Linked DNA regions of Arabidopsis thaliana. The protein of the gene in region 1 interacts with the protein of each later gene in a pairwise test. Each region holds a gene or a part of one and is shown in the gene's direction. Other genes may lie near its edges.

Region 1 (3,757 bases):
TCCAGATTCTACCCTTAATCTAGTTTTATTTTCTGTGTGATATCCCATCAGGCCAAAGGTGGAAGTTCTAAAGCTACTTCAAGATAAACCAGAACATCAGGGCTTGACGCTGCAGTAACTCACGTTCTATATATCTATCAATAATTCTTCTATCTGCATGACTTGGTAATGGTCACCATTAGTTTACAATCCCTATGCATTTTTAATTTGGCCAGTTTCGTGGAAGACAGACTCGCAACGCTGAAAAATGTCATAAAAGAGCCTGAATTAGACAAATGGAGTTTATACCTAGGTGGTCTCTTCCCTCTCCCATATCATCACTTCTGGTTCCCCTTATTGGTTATTCTGACAAAAACTTATCTCAAAACAGGAACCTGGGGATACAACACTGAGAAAGAGAGAGCTGAAGCAGCAGGCATTCCCAGGATTCAGGTTATTGAGCTCTCCACGTTTAGCAATAAGCTTAAATGAGTGCATATACTCATTGGAAAAGAAACAAAGCTTTCCTCTTTATTGTATTCTACGGCATTCAACGGAAACTAAAAACCAAACATGTTTAGGTAAGATTCAGTAAAAGAGTTGAACTTTCAGTACTACCCATTATAGAAGCTTTTCTGTGACCTATAATTCATCCTTAGTAAGATCATTCTTGTTACCATCACCATCTTCGTGATCTTTCCTTTGCTCAGCTTGAAATTTGTCAAAGACATCTTCAAATGGAGGATCTCCAGGTCTTCTAAACTCTTGCTTCCCTATCTTGACCTCGTAAGCTTCTTCTTGGCTCAGCACGAATTCCCTTAGCTAATTGAAAGATATGATTGTGATGTTAGATTTTGACTAATCCACTAAACAAAGTTTTCAGCATTGTGTGTTTTCTGTGGCTTTTACCTCAGTCACAAGCTTCCCATTTTGCATATTGAACATCACTGTGCTTCGATCTACAGCCATGAATCTTACTCCTATCCCTCCTGTTCTTAAAACTTTTGTCCATTTCATAGCAATATCAATCACCACATCCTGATTGAAACATATAAACAGATCACTATTCAATCCCCTGAAGCAACTGGACCCATATCGAATTCAGAGAATTTTGAACAGTAACTGAAACTATAACTTAAGGACCCCAAATTCACGATTCGATTTGGATTTTAGTTTACCTTGGTACGGGGGACGCCTAACCGGAGCTTGACGAAACCGACGACGGTTCCAAAAGTCCGTTTAGCCATTTCCTCTTGGATCTGATCGAATCCCATATTGGTGAAATCCGGAGGCGGATCAAATTCCGGGGTCGTTGCTTTCTTCCCCCACTCTTTCCATGACTCGTCTTCTTCATTGTCTTCAACGTCGTCTAGGTCATCGGAGATCTCGATCCGTCGCTTCGTTGCTTCGGCGATCCGGACAAATCCGTGAAAATTCATAAAAAGAAGGAGGCCAACAAGTAGAATCAGCGAAGAAGAACGAACGATCTTCTCCATCGTTTAACAAATTTATTCAGGAATCAGAAACAGAGGAAGAGAGACTGCATCGGCAACGGCATTTCTATATCAGTAAAGCTTCTACAAACTCGCACACAAGTCACAAAACCATAATAATGTGACTTTTTACTTGTTTCGGGAAAAAAAACTATTAACGACATAAACTGAACCTGCTGGTTCAAAACTGTTCGCCGTTTTTCTATCTTAAAATAGAACTGCGTGCCAACTATTGACGTAAAGATGGCAAGCATATCAAGGCTGAAAGATGAAAACGACACGAGGTTGCACCGTAAATAAAACAAGGGTAATTGTATGATTCTCTCTAATCTACTACTGCACTACAGAAGGTAAAACTAAAAGTCAAAATTTGTCTAATTTTAAATTCAAATTAATTAATCAAGTAAAACAAACATAAGTCTAATTTGATTTCCAAATTTGTTTTTTTTTTTCTTTTTTTGATTTCCAAATTTGTTTATAGTAGTATCATTTTAGTATTCTTATTACCCAATACGGAAACAAATATTTGAAATAAACATGGAAAAATTAAAAGTCATTCCATTTGGTTAACAAAAGGAACGTTTGGTAAATTCACACGTGTCTCATCGTCATTTGTGCAACTGACTTGTATAAGGAAGGGTACTTGTGGTAATAAAAGCGAAAACCGAGGGGTGGCCTCGTGAAACGCATTTTCCGTGTTCCAACTGTATCGAGGCGTGGGACCTACAATCAAAAATAAAATAAAATTAATGCCCCTTCCAAAAAAAAAAAGAAAGAGAAAAAAAAGAAAAAGGGAAGTAAGAAGCCAGCTAGGGTTTGACTGCGAGAAATTTCTGATCTGCGTGAATTTCTCAAAGAGAGGAATCGATCATCGATTCCGTGGATTTCGTTTCCCTCCCTTTTTATTTTTATTTTTCGAGAAGCCATCTCAAAGGATCTGAGTTTATACCGTTGCATCCCCCGCGACTTTCGTTTTCCGATTTCCCCCAAATTCGATGCAAATCTAAGAAGAGAGAGAAATAGAAAGGTGTGTGCGCTTCAACCGACTCAGTGTCTCTCTCTCTCTCTCTCTCTCTCTCTCTCTGTTGCTATTTGAGGTTTTTTCCTTTGCCTCGGGGGCTCTCGCTGTCCGAATTCTTTTGTAGGGATTTATTGGGTAGGGTTTTTCCACTTTTTTTTTGTCTTCTTCTACTAGCTTCGTTGTGCATTGGGTTTAATTGTTTCCAGTGTAGTGACTGTCAGATTCTTCGACCAATTGCATGCAATCTGGAGGCAGTGGCGGAGGGCCCGCTCGGAATCCGGCCATGGGTCCGGCTGGTCGGACTGCTTCCACGTCATCCGCTGCTTCTCCTTCTTCTTCCTCTTCATCTGTGCAGCAGCAGCAACAGCAACAGCAACAGCAGCAACAGCAACAGCAGCTGGCGTCTAGGCAGGTAAAGGATTCTCAAGTCTCTGTTTGGTTCGTTATGACTTAGGAGGGATAAAATGCTTGTTTGTAGTGGCTAATGTTTGTCTGTTAAACTTGCGGCTATTCAATTTTAGTGGGACTTGACTGTTTATCAATTCTGTGTAAAAGGAAAGTAACCAATATCTTTAAATTGAAGTTGTGTAATGGTAGCCACTTGGAGAACATGTTTTGTTCATTTCCACATATATATATAGTTGCTCTGAATTGTGGATTATTGTTCATTTGATTGTTACTAATTATTATCGTGCTTCTGATATGGCAGCAGCAGCAGCAGCACAGAAACTCAGATACAAACGAAAATATGTTTGCATATCAACCTGGTGGGGTTCAGGGAATGATGGGCGGTGGCAACTTTGCTTCGTCTCCGGGCTCTATGCAAATGCCTCAGCAGTCTAGAAATTTTTTTGAGTCTCCTCAGCAACAACAACAACAACAACAACAGGGTTCTTCTACCCAAGAGGGCCAGCAAAATTTTAATCCAATGCAGCAAGCGTATATTCAGTTTGCTATGCAGGCTCAGCATCAAAAAGCACAGCAGCAAGCTAGGATGGGAATGGTGGGTTCATCAAGTGTGGGAAAGGATCAAGATGCACGAATGGGAATGTTGAATATGCAAGACTTGAATCCGTCTAGTCAGCCCCAGGCCTCATCATCGAAGCCATCGGGCGATCAGTTTGCTCGCGGTGAAAGGCAGACTGAATCAAGTTCTCAGCAAAGGAACGAAACAAAATCTCATCCTCAGCAGCAGGTGGGTACCGGACAACTAATGCCTGGAAATATGATAAGGCCAATGCAAGCACCACAGGCTCAGCAGCTT
Region 2 (3,757 bases), on another chromosome or scaffold:
TCGTCCCTCTTTGAAGTCCACGTGAACTTCACGTGCATAGCCGTCACTCAATGTCGGAATACATTGTTTTTATTTTTCTTCTTCTGTGAATTATTTAGTTCTTCCTAATTATATACCTTCCCATGATTCGTGTTCGTTGCCCACACATTACTATCTCTCTTTTACTCACCTAAAAAGGCACACTATAACCTTATGTATCAAGTGACCGTTTTTTAAGATGAAAAGTGTTGACTGCTATATTTTATCATATACTATTTTAAACCAATCAGTCGTGTCAATTCTGTATATATGTTTTTTTCTCCTTTAGAAGCTAGGGTTGAACACCTTACAAATCGAAAGCAAGGCATTGTAAAAAACCACGTACCCTTCTACTAATTAAGCCTTCCACAAATTTAATATAATTTTAGTGTTCGAATGGTGATAAAGGATAGTGCAGAACATGATGCTAAAAACGAAAGCAATATATGGTTATGATAGAAGAGATTGACCAAAACATGTTGAACAAACATAATAGAATTATTAACATAACATGTGTTCAACTCATTTTATTGGTTATTTTGTGCAAGTGTGGTGTTTTAAATTTTTCTTTAAACATGCATTCCAAATTCATGTGAGCGAAGGTGTGAAAGCTTTAATGTATTTGCTGCTTGTGGCCAATCTTTAATTATTCCACCACATTATTCATTCCCTTAAATGTACTAAACAAATTGTAAGGAATATAATTTAAGGTTTTTGGTACGAAGTAATGAAGGCATGAAAGCGTTTATGTCTTTGCTCCTTATGGCCAATCTTTATCCTCCCGTTGTTGTGTCTCAAACTCGGAACCTTAACTTCCTCCTTGATCAAGAAATACTAGTTCAACTATAACAGACGTATATATAATTCTCATACACCAAAATAGGACCTTAATCTCAAAGACCTGCAACGTCGATGATACGTAAGTTGTCTTGTGTCAACACATTACATGATAATCTATGGCTGAAGAAATTTCGTTAAAATGGTACAAAGAGAAGGGTTTAAAAATATGTTTCGTATACGTACAAAGTAAATTAAAGCAGGCTATGTTCAATTAATCGCATGGTGTGGAATATTATAACACTGTTGAAGACGACAAAATAGAGTACAATGTTTAAATATAAAGAAAGAAAACTCGGGAAGATTCGTGGTTATAGACTCCTAGTCACTGGTGTAAAATAATAATCTATAGGAAAGATGGGAAAAAGAGGAGCACACTGCTTTTCAAAGGAAAATGAGTGGTCTCGAGCTCCGAAAACAAAGAAAAAATAACCTACAAAATTGACTAATTAACAGTAAAAACTAAAATAACCAAAGACAAAGACAGTTTATGTTATATTATACATATATACCCAATAGTTATCCACAAATGATCGGATCGCTTGTTTACTACTTCCTCCAAAATTTGGTCATCTTCGGGATCCACACCACGTCTCTTGTCCAGAATTGTCGTCAGCCACCTTATTTTTATGTTTACTTATTCTGATGGGATGCGACAATGTTTTCGTTACATGAAGTTCTTAAAAATATCTGATCAAAAAGAATGAAGCTCTTAAATATTTTGAAACATAACCAACAAACATTTCTTTTATATAAAGTTAAAATGAAAATTTTAAACATCCAAAAATTTCCATCAAATATATCTTGCCTTAACAAAACAGATACATGTTTTCTTGTTGGATAAATTATTTCATAATTTGGATCAAGTGAAACAAAATGTTTCTCCACTTTTAACTACGTTTGTACATTGTGCAAAAATCTAGAGAACAAGTATATCTGGAAGAAATGTAACCATGCAAGTGTATTCTCTCATTTAGGGTAAGTACATCCCATTAAACATAAAAATAGAAAAGTATATGTATATCCAATTCGTCTCATACATGCATACCACACAATTAATGATTCTTTATTCAATTACATCTTTTTACATAAAAACAGATGGCATAAGTGTAAATAAAGGGAAAGACGACCCAAGAATAAGGGGTCACAGTCGTTGAGGTTATAAAAAGCATCTCATAGGACTCAACCTCACCAAAGTCATATCCTATTGCATCACTCTCCTTTAAACACAGTCAGAGAAAACAGCAACTCTTGTCTGAAAAACTAGAGAGAGAAAATGGATCATGGTAGGTTAATGGATGATCAAATGATGCTAGGCTCTCAAGTGTACCCCTACACGACCCAACCCCAAAATTCACACTGCATCATCGTTAACCAGATCGATGGAGGCGAAGAATCAAAACCGGTGAAGCGGAGGAGGAAGAGGAGGAGTAAAGGTTCATCAGCCACCAACGAAGAAGACGTGGCGGAGATCGGAGGGATGTTGAGGAAGAGGAAGTTGACCGATGAACAAGTGAACATGCTCGAATATAGCTTCGGGAACGAGCATAAGCTGGAGTCAGGGAGGAAGGAGAAGATCGCCGGAGAGTTAGGTCTTGACCCGAGACAGGTGGCTGTTTGGTTCCAGAACCGCCGTGCACGTTGGAAGAACAAGAAACTAGAGGAAGAGTACGCCAAACTCAAAAACCACCACGACAACGTCGTACTCGGCCAATGCCAACTCGAGTCTCAGGTATAAATTTTATGTTTTTTCACTATAAAACAGAGTAAATTTGGTGATTCTTAATTTCATGTTGCTTGTTTTTTCGAAAGATGAGTAATTTTATCCGTTCTTAGATAATTAACATATAGTTTATTCGTCAATTAGTATATTTTGAGTATTTATTACACATATGTGAAATGTAGTTGAATCGAATTTTACAACTAGTGAAAATCCGGTAGCTAGCTAAAAAACACATGTTTGGGACCACACCACAAATATAATAAAGTGGGATATTTCGTCATCTCATTCTTATCCACCATTAAAAAAAAAAAAAAAGTTCCGTCCGTACAATCTCAGTTGGGCTCATGAGTGGCCCATTTACAGTTGCCCACTCATTTAATGCCACGTAAAAAACCCTTCTCTGCATTTGGGCTGACATGCCAGAAAATATCCTCCTCATTTGATGAATAACAAAATTAATTTATAACAATTTTTTTCTTTTGACATTAACTTTGCATTGTATTAAAACACTATTTATTTCACTGAATTGGTAGTAAAATATATCTTTTTTTTTTGGTTAACAAAATTACTCTTATTTTTGTTTATCTAGGTACTAAATAAGAGTTTTATATAAGATTTTCTTCTTCACATAGTGATTAACTATGGTATTAACTAATGATGTATTTTTTTGCTGTTGTAGATATTGAAACTAACAGAACAATTGAGTGAAGCTCAAAGTGAAATTCGAAAACTGTCGGAACGACTTGAAGAAATGCCAACCAACAGTTCAAGTTCATCGCTTTCTGTTGAAGCCAACAATGCACCAACTGATTTCGAGCTTGCCCCGGAAACTAATTATAACATCCCGTTTTATATGTTAGATAATAATTATTTACAAAGCATGGAGTATTGGGATGGTTTGTATGTATAATCAGTTTATCAACTAAATATCTCGTGCTTTATTGATGCAACTCATGTTATTATAAGTAATGTAGAAATAGGTGTTGGTGAAACGGTTGTAATTATGTGTTGTTTTCAGTATTTATTTTAATATATTACTTTGTTTATTATCACTTTGCTTCTTCTAGTTCCATATATATAAATCTTTCAAAAAAAAAAAAGGTAACATATATTGATATTTGCTCATTTATCATAAGATATTATTAATGTTCAGTATACAATTAATTAGTTACCAAACAG

The links. Proteins that work in one complex are often made in the same cells at the same time.
Region 2: the proteins of BRM (region 1) and HB53 interact in a two-hybrid assay, tested with the Arabidopsis thaliana proteins (one large-scale study listed by BioGRID).

What each region holds. Positions count from the first base shown.
Region 1 is NC_003071.7:18,920,573-18,924,329, forward strand, and holds the start of BRM (transcription regulatory protein SNF2), read left to right. Parts: upstream 1-1,960; 5' UTR 1,961-2,628; intron 2,629-2,704; 5' UTR 2,705-2,731; coding exon 2,732-2,905; intron 2,906-3,202; coding exon 3,203-3,757. Other genes in the region: AT2G45990 (ribosomal RNA small subunit methyltransferase G), read left to right, coding at 52-114, 216-292, 371-471; AT2G46000 (LDL receptor wingless signaling/trafficking chaperone), read right to left, coding at 622-801, 889-1,017, 1,158-1,475. UniProt on the Arabidopsis thaliana protein: ATPase subunit of a multiprotein complex equivalent of the SWI/SNF complex that acts by remodeling the chromatin by catalyzing an ATP-dependent alteration in the structure of nucleosomal DNA.
Region 2 is NC_003076.8:26,632,275-26,636,031, forward strand, and holds HB53 (homeobox 53), read left to right. Parts: upstream 1-2,000; 5' UTR 2,001-2,131; coding exon 2,132-2,587; intron 2,588-3,257; coding exon 3,258-3,488; 3' UTR 3,489-3,611; downstream 3,612-3,757. UniProt on the Arabidopsis thaliana protein: Probable transcription factor that may play a regulatory role in auxin/cytokinin signaling during root development.